Linked DNA regions of Stegostoma tigrinum. The protein of the gene in region 2 purifies or fractionates together with the protein of the main gene of each other region. This does not show direct contact. Links are inferred from orthologs where the notes say so. Each region holds a gene or a part of one and is shown on either strand. Other genes may lie near its edges. The genes, in order: intraflagellar transport protein 43 homolog and wdr19.

Region 1 (9,629 bases), on a different chromosome or scaffold from region 2:
CTCTCCCTCCCTCTATCACAGTCTTTCTCTCTCCCTCCCGCCATCTCAATCTCAGTCTCTCTCTCCCTCCCTCCATCACACTCTCTCCTTCCCTCTATCACATTGTCGATGTCATTCCCTTTATCAGACTCTCTCCCTCCCTCCCTCTATCACACTCTCACATTCCCTCCCTCCATCACACTGTCTCTCTCTCCCTCCATCACACTCTGACTTTCCCTCTCTCCATCACTCTCTCCCACGCTCCATCACGCTCTGTCTCTCCCTCCCTCTATCACACTCTCTCATTTCCTTCCTCTATCACTCTCTCTCTTACTCTCCCTCTATCACACTCTGTCCATCCATCCATCACACACACTCTCTCCATCACACTCTGTCTCCCTCCCCTGTCACACTCTCTCTCCCTACCTCTATCACTCTCTCTCACTCTCCCTCTCTCCCTCCATCACACTCTCTCTTACTCTCCCTCTATCACACTCTCTCCCTCACTCTATCACACACACTCTCTCTTCCTCCATCACACTCCCTCCATCACACTCCCTCTCTCTCCATCACACTCCCTCTATCACCCTCTCTCTCTCTCCCTCCCACTACCACATTCTGTCTCTTACTCTCCCTCTATCACAATCTCTCACTCTCTCCATCACACATACACTCACTCTCCCACACTCTCTTCCTCCCTCCTTCTATCACACGCACTCTCCCTTCCCCTCCATCACACTCTCTCTCTTCCTCCATCACACTCTCTCTTACTCCCTCTATCACACTCTCTCTGTATCTCCCTCTATCAGACTCTCTCTATCTCTTCCTCCATCACATTCTCTCTTTCACTCCCTCCATCACACTCTCTCTCACTCACTCCATCACACTCTCTTTCCCTCCATCACCCTCTCTCTCTCCCTTCCTCTATCTCAATCACCCTCTCTCTGTCCCTCCCTCTACCTCTATCACACTCTCTCCCCCTCTATCACACTCTCTCCCTCCCTCCATCATACACTCTCACACTCCCTCTATCACACTCTCTCTCTCTCTCTTTCTTCCTCCATCACACTCTCTCACTCCCTCTATCACATTGTCTTTCCCTCCATCACCCTCTCTCTCCGTCCCTCTACCTCAATCATCCTCTCTCTGTCCCTCCCTCTACCTCTATTACACACTCTCTCTCTCTCTCCCTCCCTCTATCACTCTCTCTCCCTCCCTCCCTTCATCACACGCTCTGTCTCTCTCCCCCGCTCCTTCTATCACACACTCTCTCTCCCCCTCCATCACACACTCTCTCCCTCCGTCTATCACATCCTCTTTCTCCCTCCCTCTATCACACTCTCACAGTCTCACCCTCTATTGGACTCTCTTCCTCCTTCAATCACACTCTCTACCTCCCCCCATCACACTCTGTCTCTCCTTCCCTCTATAACACTCTCTCCCTCCCTCTATCACACTCTGTCTCTCAGAACAAAGAACAAAGAAACCTACAGCACAGGAACAAGCCCTTCGGCCCTCCAAGCTTGCGCCGATTGAGATCCTCTGTCTAATCTGTCATCTATTCATCTATTTTCTAACAATCTGTGTCCATTTGCTCCCTGCCCATCCATGTACCTGTCCAGATACAGCTTAAAAGACGCTAACGTGTCTGTGTCTACCACGTCCACTGGCAACGGCTCTACCTCTTCCTCCATCATACTCTCTCTCTCACTCCCTCTATCACATGCTGTATCTCCCTCTATCAGACTCACACATAGAGTTCCAGGCACCCACCACCCTCTGCGTAAAGAACTTTCCACACATATCTCCCCTAAACTTTCCTCCTCTCACTTTGAACTCATGACCCCGAGTAATTGAGTCCCCCATTCTGGGGAAACTTACTGTCCCTTTATCATACTCTCTCCCTCCCTCTATCACACTCTCTCTCTTACTCTCCCGCGATCACACTCTCTCTCTCGCACTGACACACTCTCTCTCTCTCTCCCTCTGTCACACTCTCTCTCCCTCTGTCACACACTCTCTCTCCCTCTGTCACACACTCTCTCTCTCCCTCTGTCACACACTCTCTCTCTCCCTCTGTCACACTCTCGCTCTCTTACTCTGTCACACTCTCTCTATCTTACTCTGTCACACTCTCTCTCTCTTACTCTGTCACTCTCTATCTCTCCATCTGTCACTCCCTCTCTCTCCCTCTGTCACACTCTCTCTCTCCCTGTCACACTCTCTCTCTCCCTGTCACACTCTATCTCTCACTCTGTCACACACTCTCTCTCTCCCTCTGTCACACACTCTCTCTCTCCCTCTGTCACACACTCTCTCTCTCCCTCTGTCACACTCTCTATCTCTCCCTCTGTCACACTCTCTCTCTCCCTCTGTCACACTCTCTCTCTCTCTCCCTGTCACACACTCTCTCTCTCTCCCTCTGTCACACACTCTCTCTCTCTCTCTCCCTCTGTCACACTCTCTCTCTCTTACTCTGTCACTCTCTCTCTCTCTCTTACTCTGTCACTCTCTATCTCTCCCACTGTCACACACTCTCTCTCTGCCCCTCTGTCACACACTCTCTCTCTCCCTCTGTCACACACTCTCTCTCCCTCTGTCACACTCTCTATCTGTCCCACTGTCACACACTCTCTCTCTCCCACTGTCACACACACTATCTCTCCCTCTGTCACACACTCTCTCTCTCTCCTCTGTCACACTCTCTCTCTCTTACTCTGTCACCCTCTATCTCTCCCACTGTCACACACTCTCTCTCTCTCTCCCTCTGTCACACTCTCTCTCTCTTACTCTGTCACTCTCTATCTCTCCCACTGTCACACACTCTCTATCTCTCCCTCTGTCACACACTCTCTCTCTCCCTCTGTCACACACTCTCTCTCTCCCTCTGTCACACACTCTCTCTCTTACTCTGTCACTCTCTATCTCTCCCACTGTCACACACACTCTTTCTCTCCCTCTGTCACACACTCTCTCTCTCCCTCTGTCACACACTCTCTCTCTCCCTCTGTCACACTCTCTCTCTCTTACTCTGTCACTCTCTATCTCTCCCACTGTCACACTCTCTCTCTCTCCCTCTGTCACACTCTCTCTCTCTTACTCTGTCACTCTCTATCTCTCCCACTGTCACACACTCTCTCTCTCCCCCTCTGTCACACACTCTCTCTCTCCCTCTGTCACACACTCTCTCTCCCTCTGTCACACTCTCTATCTGTCCCACTGTCACACACTCTCTCTCTCCCTCTGTCTCACACACTCTCTATCTCTCCCTCTGTCACACACTCTCTCTCTCTCCCTCTGTCACACACTCTCTCTCTCCCTCTGTCACACACTCTCTCTCTCCCTCTGTCACACTCTCTCTCTCTTACTCTGTCACTCTCTATCTCTCCCACTCTGTCACTCTCTATCTCTCCCACTGTCACACTCTCTCTCTCTCCCACTGTCACACACACTCTCTCTCTCCCTCTGTCTCACACACTCTCTATCTCTCCCACTGTTACACACTCTCTCTCTCTCCCTCTGTCACACAATCTCTCTCTCTCCCTCTGTCACACAATCTCTCTCCCTCTGTCACACTCTCTCTCCCACTGTCACACACTCTCTCTCTCCCCCTCTGTCACACACTCTCTATCTCTCCCACTGTCACACACTCTCTCTCTCCCTCTGAAACACACTCTCTCTCTCCCTCTGTCACACTCTCTCTCTCTTACTCTGTCACTCTCTATCTCTCCCACTGTCACACTCTCTCTCTCTCTCCCTCTGTCACACTCTCTCTCTCTTACTCTGTCACTCTCTATCTCTCCCACTGTTACACACTCTCTCTCTCCCCCTCTGTCACACACTCTCTCTCTCTCCCTCTGTCACACACTCTCTCTCCCACTGTCACACACTCTCTCTCTCTCCCTCTGTCACACTCTCTATCTCTCCCACTGTCACACACTCTCTCTCTCCCTCTGTCTCACACTCTCTCTCTCTCCCTCTGTCACACTCTCTCTCTCTTACTCTGTCACACACTCTCTCTCCCTCTGTCACACACTCTCTCTCTCTCCCTCTGTCTCACACTCTCTCTCTCTCCCTCTGTCTCACACACTCTCTCTTACTCTCCCAGATTCTCTCCCTCCCTCCCTCTGTCACTCTCTCTCTCTCTGCGTCTCTCTCTATCACCACACACTCTCTCTCTCTCTCTCTCTCGCACTGTCACAGTCTCTCTCTCCCACCTGGAACACATAGACACTCCCTCCCCCTCCCTCTATCACACTCTATCCTATTACCCGCTGAGGTTCCTCCAGAACATCCTCCATTGCCAGGCCAAGCGCCAATGCGCATGCGCGACGGTCTCCCCGACAACGGAGAGAGAGACTGGGATAGAAAGAGAGAGAGAGACTGGGATAGAGAGAGAGAGTGAAACTGGGATAGTGAGAGAGAGAGACTGGGATAGAGAGAGAGAGAGAGACTGGGATAGAGAGAGAGAGACTGGGATAGAGAGAGAGAGAGAGACTGGGATAGAGAGAGAGAGAGAGACTGGGATAGAGAGAGAGAGAGACTTGGATAGTGAGAGAGATAGAGACTGGGATAGAGAGAGAGAGAGACTGGGATAGAGATAGAGAGAGACTGGGATAGAGAGAGAGATAGAAACTGGGATAGAGAGAAAGAGCGACATAGATAGAGAGAGACAGAGACTGGGATAGAGAGAGAGAGATACTGGGATAGACAGAGAGAGAGACTGGGATAGAGAGAGAGAGAGAGACTGGGATAGTGAGAGAGAGAGAGTGGGAAAAAGAGAGAGAGAGAGACTGGGATAGAGAGACGGAGAGAGACTGGGATAGAGAGATAGAGAGAGACTTGGATAGTGAGAGAGATAGAGACTGGGATAGAGAGAGAGAGAGACTGGGATAGAGAGAGAGAGACTGGGATAGAGAGAGACTGGGATAGAGATAGAGAGAGAGAGACTGGGATAGAGAGAAAGAGAGATAAAGAGACTGGGATAGAGAGAGTGAGACTGGGATAGATAGAGAGAGAGACTGAGAGAGAGAGGGACTGGGATAGAGAGAGAGAGAGGAATAGTGCCAGATGACTGGAGGATAGCAAATGTGGTTCCCCTGTTGAAGATGGGAGTAGAGACAACCCTGGTAATTATAGACCAGTGAGCCTTACCTCAGTTGTTGGTAAAGTGTTGGAAAAGGTTATAAGGGATAGGATTTATAATCATCTAGAAAAGAATAAATTGATCAGGGATAGTCAGCATGGTTTTGTGAAGGGAAGGTCGTGCCTCACAAACCTTATTGAGTTCTTTGAGAAGGTGACCAAACAGGTAGATGAGAGTAAACCGGTTGATGTGGTGTATATGGATTTCAGCAAGGCGTTCGATAAGGTTACCCACAATAGGCTATTGTACAAAATGCAGAGGAATGGAATTGTGGGAGATATAGCAGTTTGGATCGGAAATTGGCTTGCTGAAAGAAGACAGAGGGTGGTAGTTGATGGGAAATGTTCATCCTGGAGACCAGTTACTAGTGGTGTACCGCAAGGGTCGGTGTTGGGTCCACTGCTGTTTGTCATTTTTATAAATGACCTGGATGAGGGTGTAGAAGGATGGGTTAGTAAATTTGCAGACGACACTAAGGTCGGTGGAGTTGTGGATAGTGACGAAGGATGCTGTAGGTTGCAGAGAGACATAGATAAGCTGCAGAGCTGGGCTGAGAGGTGGCAAATGGAGTTTATTGCAGACAAGTGTGAGGTGATGCACTTTGGTAGGAGTAACCAGAAGGCAAAGTACTGGGCTAATGGTAAGATTCTTAGCAGTGTAGATGAGCAGAGAGATCTCGGTGTCCATGTACACAGATCCTTGAAAGTTACCACCCAGGTTGACAGGGCTGTTAAGAAGGCATACAGTGTTTTAGCTTTTATTAATAGAGGGATCGAGTTGCGGAACCAAGAGGTTATGGTGAAGCTGTACAAGACTCTGGTGTGGCCGCACATGGAGTATTGTGTACAGTTCTGGTCACCGCATTATAAGAAGGATGTGGAAGCTTTGGAAAGGATGCAGAGGAGATTATTTAGGATGTTGCCTGGTATGGAGGGAAGGCCTTACGAGGAAAGGTTGAGGGACTTGAGGCTGTTTTCATTAGAGAGAAGAAGGTTGAGAGGTGACTTAATTGAAACATATAAAATAATCAGAGGGTTAAATAGGGTGGATAGGGAGAGCCTTTTTCCTCGGATGGTGACGGCAAGCACGAGGGGGCATAGCTTTAAATTGAGGGGTGGAAGATATAGGTCAGATGTCAGAGGTAGTTTCTTTACTCAGAGAGTAGTAAGGGCATGGAACGCTTTGCCTGGAATGGTAGTTGATTCGCCAACTTTAGGTCCATTTAAGTCGTCATTGGACAAGCATATGGACGTACTTGGAATAGTGTAGGTTAGATGGGCTTGAGATTGGTATGACAGGTTGGCACAACGTCGAGGGCCGAAGGGCCTGTACTGTGCTGTAATGTTCTATGTTCTATGAGACTGGGATAGAGAGAGAGAGAGAGACTGGGATAGAGAGAGAGAGAGACTGGGATAGAGAAAGAGTGTGACTGGGACAGAGAGAGAGAGCGTGACTTGGATAGAGAGAGAGACTGGGATAGAGAGAGAGAGACTGGGATAGTGAGAGAGAGAGACTGGGATAGAGAGAGAGAGTGACTGGGATAGAGAGAGAGAAAGAGAGGCTGGGATAGTGAGAGAGAGAGACTGAGATAGAGAGAGAGAGTGACTGGGATAGAGAGAGAGAAAGAGAGGCTGGGATAGAAAGAGAGAGCGAAACTGGGATAGAGAGAGAGACACTGGGATAGAGAGAGAGAGAGCGACTGGGATAGAGAGAGTGAGAGAGACTGGGATAGAGAGAGAGAGACTGGGATAGAGAGAGAGAGAGAAAGAGAGACTGGGATAGAGGGAGACTGGGATAGAGAGAGAGAGAGCGACTGGGATAGAGAGAGAGAGAGCGACTGGGATAGAGTGAGAGAGAGCGACTGGGATAGAGAGAGAGACTGGGATAGAGAGAGAGAGAGACTGGGATAGAGAGAGAGAGAGACTGGGATAGAGAGAGAGAGAGCGACTGGGATAGAGTGAGAGAGAGCGACTGGGATAGAGAGAGAGAGAGAGAGACTGGGATAGAGAGAGAGAGAGACTGGGATAGCGAGAGCAAGAGCAGAACTGGAATATAGAGTGACCCTAGATTGTTTGTTTCAGCCACTCCCTGACATTCGCTCTCTGTATGTCGCGGTGGGATGCAGTTATCTCAGTTTAATAATAATCGTGTTATCATTTTTAAGCAAACCGGTGACGGAGATCTTGTTAGATCTCAGCTGAAGTATTGTGTCCAGTTGTAGGTACCACATTGTAGGGAAGATGTGAATATATTACAGACAGTACTGAAATTATTAGTATGAATGATGCCAGGAATGAAAATTTCAGTGATGAGGATAGACTGAAGAAGCGGTGAGCTTGTGGTGCCACGGTAGCACGTCTGGCTCCAAATCAGAAGGTTGGGTGTTCAAATCATGGCGGGCTCACTGATGTTTGGTGGTAATGTATTGCTACTTATTTAGAGGGCACCACGGTGGCTCAGTGGTTAGCACTGCAGCCTCACAGCACCAGGGACCCAGGTTCAATTCCAGCCTCAGGCGACTGTCTATGTGGAGTTTGCACATTCTCCCCATGTCTGCATGGGTTTTCTCCGGGTGCTCCGGTTTCCTCCCACAGTCCAAAGATGTGCAGGCTAGGTGGGTTGGCCATGATAAATAGCTAATAGTGTTCAGGGAGGTATAGATTAGGTGGGCTAAGGGGGGATGGGTCTGGGTGGGATGCTCCGTGAATTGGTGTGGATTTGTTGGGCCGAAGAGCCTGTTACCACACTGTCGGGATTCTATAATAAATAAGTTGGGACTATTCCCTATTGAGAGGAGAAGCCTAAGAGAAGATTTGATTGAGGTATTCAAGATCGTGAGCAGGGCCTGGTCAAGGTAGATAGGGAGAAGCCTTTCCCATTCTTAAGGGGCTTTCTCAAGATGGCAGCCAGTGACAAGTGGTGGTCCGCAAGGGTCAGTACTGGGGCCACAACCTTTCACTTTATACAATTTCCTTTGATGATCATGGGATGTGGGCATCACTGGCCAGGCAGCATTCATTGCCCATCCCTAGTTGCCCAGAGGGCAGTTAGGAGTCAACCACATCGCTGTGGGTCTGGAGTCACATGGAGGCCAGACCAGGTAAGGATGGCAGTTTCATTCCCTAAAGGTCATTAGTGAACCAGATGGGTTTTTTCGATTATCAACATCGTATTCATGGTCATCATTAGATTCTCAATTCCAGATATTTATTGAATTCAAATTCCACCATCTGCCCTGGCAGGATTTGAATCCAGATCCCCAGAACATTATCTGAGTCTCTGGATTAACAGTCCAGCGGTTATACCACGAGACAAGTACCTCCCATAATCGAGATGAAGGAACTGAGGGTATTCTGGTTAAGTTTGCAGATGATACAAAGTTAGGCGGAGGGACAGGTAGTATTGAGGAGATGGGGAGGCTTCAGAAGGATTTCGACATGTCAGGAGAGCGAGTAAAGAAGTGGCAGATGGAGTACAACGTGGGAAAGCGTGAGGTCATACACTTTCGTAAGAATAATAAAAGCATGGGCTGTTTTCTAAATGGGGAGGAAATGCAGAAAGAGACTTGGGAGTTCTAGTCCAGGATTCTCTCAAGGTAAACTTGCAGGGTGAGTCAGCAGTCAGGAAGGCAAATGCAATGTTAGCATTTATTTTGAGAGGTGTTGAATATAAAAGCAGGGATGTACTACTGAGGCTCTATAAGGCTCTGGTCAGGCCACATTTGGAGTATTGTGTGCAGTTTTGGGACCCATATCTCAGGAAGGATGTACTGGCCCTGGAGCAGGTTCAGAGGAGGTTCACGAAAATGGTCCTGGGAATGGAGAGCTTAACATATGGGGAATATTTGAGGACTCTGGGACTATACTCATTGGAGTTTAGACGGATGAGGCGGGTACTATTGAAATTTACAGACTATGAATGGCCTGGACAGAGCGGATGTTGGGAAGATGCTTCCATTGGTAGGAGAGACTAGGACCCGGGGGCACAGCCTTAGAGTAAAGGTAAGACCTTTTAGGACGGAGATAAGGAGAAACGTCTTCAGCCAGAGAGTGGTGAATCTATGGAATTCACTGCCACAGAAGGCTGTGGAGGCCGGGTCATTGAGTACATTTAAGACAGAGATAGATAGGTTCTTGATTATTAAGGGTTATGGGGAGAAAGTGGGAGAATGGGATTGAGGAACTTATCGGCCATGGTTGAATGGCGGAGCAGACTCGATGGGCTGATTGGCCTGGCCTAATTTATGCTTCTATGTCTTATCGCCATATGAAAGAAACAAGAATGGCAGGGCATAGGTCGATAGTGATGTGCAAACGAAGAATGGCCTCGATTCCCTGAGACCTGGTCGGCGTTGCCTAGTGAGTTTTCCCACATCCTATTTTCTGTGTTTCTCTAACTGTGACTCTCACTGAGATGGGAGTCTCTCTGTGCATCACAGAAATTCAACTTTGTAAATATTTAATCAGGTAACTTCACAATGAACAGATCGAGTCCTTTAGTTTCA
Region 2 (9,648 bases):
ACGGTACGTTAATCATAATAAGAAACAGTAACAGGAGTAGGTCATTCAGCCCCTTGAGCCTTTTCTGCCATTTAAAGGATCCTGGTTGCTCTGACATTGCTCATATTCACTTTCATGCAGTTTCCCCAAAACCTTTGATTCCTCTACTGATCAAGAGCCTGTCCATTTCACCTTTAAATTGGTGCCCCTTTATTCTGAGGCTATGCCCATCAACTGTGTATCTCAGCCATCAAGTCTCTTTGGGCCTCTGCTAATGTTTCTAGCTTTTCACAATCTCTTTCTGGGTCCAAAGTGGATTTGCTTACATTGAAATCCATTTGACAAGTCTAACTTACACACTTAGTCTATGAAAATCCTTTTGCAATTTATGCTTCCTGCCACTTTGCTTACAATGCCATCCATCTTTATATATTTTGCAAATTTAAATACGTGGCTTCTATCTCAGCATCTAAATAGCTACTGAACACTGAACAGCTGAAGCACCGACACAGATCACTGTCACCAGACACATTCTGCTAATGAGCTGACTTACCAATTAGTAAAGTTGCCATAGTCCCAGAGTACCATACAATGCTCTGTCTCTTTCCTCTCAACCAATATGCAAATGAGATCAATAATTTGCTTTTAATTCCACAAGCATCAACATTAGCTAACAATATCTTCTAGCTGTACATATAAATAATACCTATAGACATTCTCCTGACCACTAATTTAGTCTCCTACTCACTATTTTAGTCACCTCTTCAAAGAATTCAATCAAAATAGTAAGGAATGACTCTCTCTTCATGAATCCATCTGGCTCTCTTGCTATGATCAGTTGCAAATTTTTAAGGCATCAAGTCACATTATCCTCTTAAAAACTTTGCAACAACACATAACTTCTAGACCAAAAAAAAACTGTGATGCTGGAAATCAGAAAACAAAACAGAAATTGCTGGAAAATCTCAATAGGACTGGCAGCATCAGTGAAGAGAAATCAGAGATAACATTTTGGGTCTGGTGACCCTTCCTCAGAACTGATGGTAGCTAGGAAAATGTTGGTGTTTATGCAGAAGATAGGGTGGGGAGGGGGTTAGGAGTAAACAATAGGTGGAGATAGAGCCCAAAGAGAGATAAGAACAGTTGGACAGACAAAGGAGCGGATAAGGATCTGGCAAGGAAGGTGAATAGCTGTTAATGTAGACTGTTAGCGGCTAACAATGAGTTGTGTGTAATAGCAGACTGTATGATCACATGGCCTGATGTATGGGGCCGTGGCCTAGGACAGTGGAGAGTTCAAACCCTGAAGTTACTGAGCTCAATATTGAGCAGCTGCAAGGTCCCCAAGCAAAAAATGAGGTGGTGTTCTTCCAGCTTCACTGGGGAACAGCAGCAAGCCTAAGACAGGGATAGTGGCCAGGGAGCCAGGTGGTGCGTTGAAGCAGCAGGTAACTAGAAGCTCAGGGTTATTTTGGCGAGCAGAACTTAGGAGCTTTGCAAAGTGGTCACTTGGCCTACGCTTCTTTTTCCCAATGTAGAGGAAACCACATTGTGAGCAGTGAATCCAATAAACGAGATTGCATGAAGTGCAGGTAAAGTAAATAGGCAAGTATTACACCTTCGGCAATTGTAGGGGAAAGTGTCGTGGGCTGTGGTGGTATTGGGAGTGAAGGAAAAGTCGATCAGAGTGTCCCGAAGGGAATGGTCCCTGCTGAAGGCAAACAACTGAGGGGAGGAGAATGTGTCAAGTGGTGGCACTTTGCTGGAGGTGGCAGAAATGGTGGCTAATCATTTTCTTGTTATGTATGCTGGTGGGATGGTAGGTAAAAACAAGGGAATCCTATCATTGTGGGAGGGAAGAGAGAGGTTGAGAGCCAAAGTGCGGGAGCTGGGTCGAACCCAGTTGAGGGCCCTGTCGACAACAGCGCTGGGGAATCCTCGGTTGAGGAAGAAGATAGACATTTCAGAGGCTCCCTTGTCAAAGTTGGCATCATTGGCACATATGTGACGGAGAGGGAGGAACTGAGAAAACTGAGTCAGAGACAGACCAGGTGAAAGTGAGGGTGGCATGGAAGTTGGAAGCTAAATTGATAAACCTTACCAATTTCAGACGAGAAATAGAACATAACAGCACAGTACAGGCCCTTCGGCCTCGATGTTTGGAAGCTGCACTGATGATATCATCAACATATTGGAGAAAGAGTTTTGGGCATGGGCTGGAATAGGACTCAAACAAGGAATATTCCACGCACCCCACGAAGCGACAGCATAATTGGAGCCCATGCAGTACCCATGGCCACCCCTATGCCCTGAAGAAAATGACAGGAGTTAAAAAAGTTGCTTAGGGTAAGGAAAACCTCCGCCAGGCTGAGGACGGTGGTGGGGGTGGGGATGGTCAGGCATTTTTTTCCAGGAAGGAGTGGAGAGCCCTGAGACTATCCTGATGGGGAATGGAAATGTAGAGGAGTTTTATGTCCATGGTGAAGGAAGGCAGCTGGAGCCTGCAAATTGGAAATTCCAAAACTGGCATAAAGTGTCAGAGGAATTGTAGATACCATCAGCTTGGAGGTGCCGGAGGGGAGATTACCAGATAAAATGAGGACTGTAGTTGATCCAACGGCTGGATATTCCACGGTGGGGCCATGGTCCAGTGGGTGATAGGAGGAGATATGTGAGTGCTGGCATCAGCCTCTGCAACATAAATGCCAGAACTCCAGACTACAACAGCATCACGCTAATAAAGTCAAGATTGGATCTGAGCACATAGAATGCAGTCAGTTCAGGGGAAAATAGGTTGGAATGGGACAGGGGAGGAAAGAAGTTGTTGCCCGCCACATCTACACATCATCCTGTACCCTGGCCAATATCTCTGTCTTAGGCTTGCTGCAGTGCTCCAGCAACGCTCAGCATAAGCTGGATGAACAACAATTCATTTTCTGCTTGGGGTCCCTGCCCTACTCAATATCGAGTTTAATAACTGTAGGTCTTGAACACTCCTATGTCCTAGTCCCCACACCAAAGCACCAGGCCTTGTGACTGCATAGTCTGCTATTACACACAACCCATTGTTAGCCACCAACAGTCTCCATTAACAGCTATTCACTCTCCTAGCCAAATCCTTATCTACTCTTTTGTCTGTCCAACTGTCTTCTCTCTCTTTGGGCTCTATCCTCACCTATCATTTACTCCTTACTCCCTTCCCCCCATCCCATCTTCTGCATTAATACCAACATTTTCTGAGCTACCATCAGTTCTGAGGAAGGGTGACCGGACCCAAAATGTTATCTCTGCTTTCTCTAGACGCTGCTAGATTAAAGTGGCCATGGAAGGTGTGATCTTAGGATGTTTAGCAAAACATGCTCTATGGCTGCTCCGGAGCTTTGGTGGTGGATCGAGCAGGTGTTTCTGGACTTAGTGCCAATCATTCAGGCTGTTTTATCATGGATAGTGTCAACCTTTTGCGTTGTTTGATTTACACTAATTCAGGCAAGTGGGAAGTATTGTCACATTCCTGACTTGTGCCTTGTAGATGGCGGAAAGATTTTTGAGAAGTCAGTTGGTGAGTAACTTAGTGCAGTATTCCAAGACTCCAGCCTGCTCTTGTAGCCACTGTAATTATAATGGTATGCCCAGTTGAGTTTCTGGTCAACAGTAACTGCTAGGATGAGGGAATCAGTGATGGCGACTCCATTGAATGTCAAGTGATGGCATGAATGTTACTTGCCACTTTTTCTGCCCAAACCTGAATGCTGTCTAGGTCTTGATGCATTTGGACAGGGACTGTTTCAGTATCCGAGGAGTCATGATGGTGCTGGCCACTGTGCAAGTACTGGTGAACATCCCCACATCTGACCTGATGGAGGAGGGAAGGTTTTCGATGAAGCAGCTAAAGATTGTTGGGCCTAGGAACCACTGAGGAACTCCAGCAGAGATTTCCAGGAGCGGAGATGACTGATCTCTGACAATCACGACCATCTTCCTATGTTCAAGGAATGCATCAAATTAACAGAGAGTTTTCTCCTAATTCCCAGTGATTTGAATTTTAGTAGGGCTTCCTGATACCACACTCTATCAAACATGGCCTCGATTTCATGGGCTGTCACTTTCACTCCTGAAATTCAGTTGTTTTGTCCATGTTTGAAGTCAAATTGGACATCACTGAGCAAATGGTCGACAAGTAAGTGCTGGTTGATTACATTGTTAATGTTACCTTCCGTCACTTACCACATGATCAAGAGTAGACTAATGGGGAGGCAATTAGCCCGGTTGGATTTATCCTGCTTTTGGTGTACAAGACATACTTGGGCAATTTTTCACATTGACAGGCAAGTGCCAGCATTGTAACTTAACTGAACCTGCTTGGCTACGCAAACAGCAAGTTCTGGAGCACAAGTACTATTGTCAGAATGTTCTCAGGGCCCACAGCCTTTGCAGTATCCAGCGGAAGCTGGTATTAATGGATCTGTGGTGAACACAGTGAGAGTACAATTACAATACTTTCTAGGAGACAGAATATCCCCACGTCTCGGGGGAATATTTTCTGGGTCATGAGGGTTCAGGGACTACAATCCATTGTACCACCAACTCCGTTTCCATAGTAACCGTCAAAGTAGAGCTGAGGCCTTTGCAAATTGCGGTGTTATCACAAGCCATCGACAACAGCGGCGCTAAGTAACAAAACCGAAAATTGTTAACGCGAATACATCTCTCTCTCCTCAACCCGAAGACTTGATGATACCGGAGCAGCCTCCACCTGCACTTCCTCTCTCACCTTCATCTTTCTCTTTATTTCCTTCAGCCTCTAGCTTCCCCAAGTGTGGCCGCGCTGACCAAATGCGCACGCGCAGCAATGCGTCCTCTTCCCGTAGTGCAACGCGGTAGGGCGTCTGGTAGCCATGGTAACCGTCGGCATGCGCCATCACCGTGTTTCTTTGCAGGCTCAGTCCCAGTGAGAAAGCCTGGAGGACCATGAATTTACTGTCAACCTGGGGCTGCTTGTTTAAAAGAAATCTCCATGACTACTAATCTAAATCAAAACAAAAAGCCGAAAGGTATCAACAGGTCACAGTCCGTGGAGATAAAGGCCACAGAACACCGCACTGCCCGTTTCTATCTCCTTCCCAAAATCCACAAACCTGCCTGCCCTGGTCGACCCATCGTCTCAGCCTGCTCCTGCCCCACCGAACTCATCTCCACCTATCTGGACTCCATTTTCTCCCCTTTGGTCCAGGAACTCCCCACCTACATCCATGACACCACCCATGCCCTCCACCTCCTCCAGGACTTCCAATTCCCTGGCCCCCAACACCTCATCTTCACCATGGACGTCCAGTCCCTATACACCTGTATTCCGCATGGAGATGGCCTCAAGGCCCTCCGCTTCTTCCTGTCCCGCAGGCCCGACCAGTCCCCCTCCACCGACACCCTCATCCGTCTAGCCGAACTCGTCCTCACACTCAACAACTTCTCTTTTGACTCCTCCCACTTCCTACAGACTAAGGGGGTGGCCATGGGCACCCGCATGGGCCCCAGCTATGCCTGCCTCTTTGTAGGTTACGTGGAACGGTCCCTCTTCTGCACCTACACAGGCCCCAAACCCCACCTCTTCCTCCGGTACATTGATGACTGTATCGGCGCCGCCTCTTGCTCCCCAGAGGAGCTCGAACAGTTCATCCACTTCACCAACACCTTCCACCCCAACCTTCAGTTCACCTGGGCCATCTCCAGCACATCCCTCACCTTCCTGGACCTCTCAGTCTCCATCTCAGGCAACCAGCTTGTAACTGATGTCCATTTCAAGCCCACCGACTCCCACAGCTACCTAGAATACACCTTCTCCCACCCACTCTCCTGCAAAAATTCCATCCCCTATTCCCAATTCCTCCGCCTCCGCCGCATCAGCTCCCACGATGAGGCATTCCACTCCCACACATCCCAGATGTCCAAGTTCTTCAAGGACCGCAACTTTCCCCCCACAGTGGTCGAGAACGCCCTTGACCGCGTCTCCCGCATTTCCCGCAACACATCCCTCACACCCCGCCCCTGCCACAACTGCCCAAAGAGGATCCCCCTCATTCTTACACACCACCCCACCAACCTCCGGATACAACGCATCATCCTCCGACACTTCTGCCATCTACAATCCGACCCCACCACCCAAGACATTTTTCCATCCCCACCCCTGTCTGCTTTCCGGAGAGACCACTCTCTCCGTGACTCCCTTGTTCGCTCCACACTGCCCTCCAACTCCACCACACCCGGCACCTTCCCCTGCAACCGCAGGAAATGCTACACTTGCCCCCACACCTCGTCCCTCACCCCCATCCCAGGCCCCAAGATGACATTCCACATTAAGCAGAGGTTCACCTGCACATCTGCCAATGTGGTATACTGCATCCATTGTACCCGGTGCGGCTTCCTCTACATTGGGGAAACCAAGCGGAGGCTTGGGGGGACCGCTTTGCAGAACACCTCCACTCGGTTCGCAACAAACAACTGCACCTCCCAGTCGCAAACCATTTCCACTCCCCCTCCCATTCTTTAGATGACATGTCCATCATGGGCCTCCTGCACTGCCACAATGATGCCACCCGAAGGTTGCAGGAACAGCAACTCATATTCCGTTTGGGAACCCTGCAGCCCAATGGTATCAATGTGGACTTCACCAGCTTCAAAATCTCCCCTTCCCCCACCACATCCCAAAACCAGCCCAGTTCGTCCCCTCCCCCCACTGCACCACACAACCAGCCCAGCTCTTCCCCTCCACCCACTGCATCCCAAAACCAGTCCAACCTGTCTCTGCCTTCCTAACCTGTTCTTCCTCTCACCCATCCCTTCCTCCCACCCCAAGCCGCACCTCCATCTCCTACCTACTAACCTCATCCCACCTCCTTGACCTGTCCGTCTTCCCTGGACTGACCTGTCCCCTCCCTACCTCCTCACCTATACTCTCCTCTCCAGCTATCTTCTTTTCTCTCCATTTTCGGTCCGCCTCCCCCTCTCTCCCTATTTATTCCAGAACCCTCACCCCATCCCCCTCTCTGATGAAGGGCCTAGGCCCGAAACGTCAGCTTTTGTGCTCCTGAGATGCTGCTGGGCCTGCTGTGTTCATCCAGCCTCACATTTTATTATCTTGGATTCTCCAGCATCTGCAGTTCCCATTATCACAGAATCCAGCTCTGTTCTGTTTGTAGGTTGGTGCTATTTAGGCTCCAAATTGGAGATATGTGTTTTATGTGAGCCACGCTAGACAACATCGGAGTGGGAGATGAGAAGGGAACATTCAGTAAGAAATGATTCTTCAACTATTAATGTTCATGACTGCCTTAAGTCGTACCTAATTCAATGATGTTCATACAGTCTTAACAGGGAAGGGTTGTCTAGCTCCAGATCCAATATAGACAGGTGTATCATCGGTGTCCAAATAGTTTTTAAGATCAACTTGCTCAGACACGTTGCACGCATCCAGAAGGGTGGACTTGAACCCAGCCCTCCTGGCAGAGAGTGAGGGGCATTGCCAGTGTCACAAGAGACCCCTACCGTAATAATCTTAGTTATTATGTCTGACCAACCAACGTAATTGTTCCTGTTTCTACCATGCAATAAACTAAAGCTTGTTAAAACCAGCACTTCTTTGCATTAAGACTCACTGGTGGTTCACGCTCCACCATTGTTAACTAAAGCAAGAGAGAGGTGATGGCTGAGTGGTAATGTCACTGGACTAGTATCCAGAACCCTTAGCTGATGTCATTTATGCAGTCAGAGTTTTAACAGCATGGAAGGAGGCTTTTAAGCTTGCGTTCACACCAGTCTTCAAACTTCCATCTATTCTAATCTCATTTTCCAGCTGCTGGCTCATAGCCTTGTACACTATGGTGTTTCAAGCATTCATCTAAATAATTTTTAAATGTTTTGAAATTTCCTGTCTGTACCACCCTCTTAGACAGTGAGTTCTAAGTACTCATAACCCTCTGGGTGAAAAAAATCCCTCAAATCCAGTCTGAACTGCCCACCTTTCTCTCCTGTCTCCTCAGACTTCTCTGTTCTAAGGAAAATAGCTTCAGAATTGAATCGCTCCAGCCTAAGCAACACTGTGCTGAATCTCTCGCACCCTCTCTAGTAAAATCACATTTTTTTTTGCTCAGTATTTAAGGTAAGTGAGGGACAGGAGTTTGGACGACAAAATGGGTACCTGATGGATAAAGTAAGTAAATGTCTGCTTAAAATATGTTAGAGGATCCAATCTGGCAGGGTGGGGCTGGGTGTAGGTTGGTTTGGGACCAACCAGGGTTGGGTGGATCAGGTCAAGAAGATCATGTCAGGTCAGAGGATTGTCAGTTTCAGCAAGAGTTGGTCAGGGGGAGCAGAGTTTTAGGTGTTGGGTCACAGGAAGGGGATGTTGTGTCTAGGGATAGGTGTGTTGGGTCTGGATGTTAAGGTTCTGGGATGTAGTTGGGTTGAGGTAGGATCAGTGGTGAGTTGGAAGTTAGTTTAATAGTTGTCAAATAGTCCTCTGACCTTTACTCGGTAATGATGAAACTTAAGTGAGACCAAACTTTATCAAGGTCTGACTTTAAGCATCTTTTTTAGGAGGGTTCCAGAAGCAGGGGAATTGTCCAGTGATAATTTCAAGTTCTGGGACAATTCCAATGCATCAGAGATTCCACGTGGTCTTGAGCCACAATTCTGGTGTTCTCTGTCCATTAACTGAAAGCTGATGCTACATAAATTTATTAAGATCCTTTGAGGATGTAACAAAATTAATAAATGAGGTATATCCAGTGATAATCATTCTGCTGGCCTGCTACCTGGCTGTAACTTCACTCTTCCCTGTCATTTCATCTTATTTAGCTTCTTCCTCTCTTGCATGTATCTGTCTGCCTGTCTTCAGCTTTGTGTTCTTCACTATTGGTACTGCTCTGCTACCATCATTTCTTGTTCCCATATCTCTTTGCTGCTTTGCATTCCAGTTTATGGGAACACATTGACGTGAATAATATTCACAGACTAAGCCACTGGTTTTACTGACATCTTGACAGACCACAGTACCAACACTATCAACCATCCAGCTGCCTAACCATCTGGAACATAAAGTGATACTTCAGCGTTATGATAAAAATAAATTAAAACAGGAAAACTGCAGAGAGTGTGATATCAATAAAGTGCATTTCAAGTAATGACATTATGGTGCCTGATTATTCTCAATGCAGCACTTCCAAAAACAAACATAATGCAGATCATAATGTGTCAGAATTAATAGAGAAAATTACAGAATTTCTGTTTTTATGATACCTTGAAACGATCATAAAAATTATGAAGTGTGGAGGTGACATTCAATTTAGACTTGCTGTCATGCAGTTGTCAGGGAATTGGGGCGCTGAGGCACAGATAGGCTGTGATCTAATTCAATGTTATCTGATATGTTAACCATGAACATTAAGCATCACTATTGGGAAATTGATCTCAATACTTGTACTCATTATATAAGTGTACATTTACTAATAAAATAGTAAGATGTGAAGCAGATTCTCAAACTTATTTTATGAAAATGCATGCTTTATTTGTAGAAATGATGACATAGTGGTAATGCCACTAGACAAAGAATCCAGTACCCCTGGCTCATGTCCTGGGAACAACGGTTCACATTCTGCCATATTAGCTCATGAGATT

Evidence for each region.
Region 1: the proteins of wdr19 (region 2) and intraflagellar transport protein 43 homolog purify together in Homo sapiens (affinity purification with mass spectrometry; 3 studies listed by BioGRID and IntAct, counting the BioPlex papers as one, with this or other methods). This does not show direct contact. The link is inferred for Stegostoma tigrinum from reciprocal best matches to the Homo sapiens genes WDR19 and IFT43.

Annotation. Positions count from the first base shown.
Region 1 is NC_081363.1:1,957,829-1,967,457, forward strand, and holds the start of intraflagellar transport protein 43 homolog, read right to left. Parts: upstream 4,317-9,629; 5' UTR 4,281-4,316; coding exon 4,251-4,280; intron 1-4,250. UniProt on the Homo sapiens protein: As a component of IFT complex A (IFT-A), a complex required for retrograde ciliary transport and entry into cilia of G protein-coupled receptors (GPCRs), it is involved in ciliogenesis.
Region 2 is NC_081354.1:98,065,701-98,075,348, reverse strand, and holds the start of wdr19 (WD repeat-containing protein 19), read right to left. Parts: upstream 4,833-9,648; 5' UTR 4,757-4,832; coding exon 4,751-4,756; intron 1-4,750. UniProt on the Homo sapiens protein: As component of the IFT complex A (IFT-A), a complex required for retrograde ciliary transport and entry into cilia of G protein-coupled receptors (GPCRs), it is involved in cilia function and/or assembly.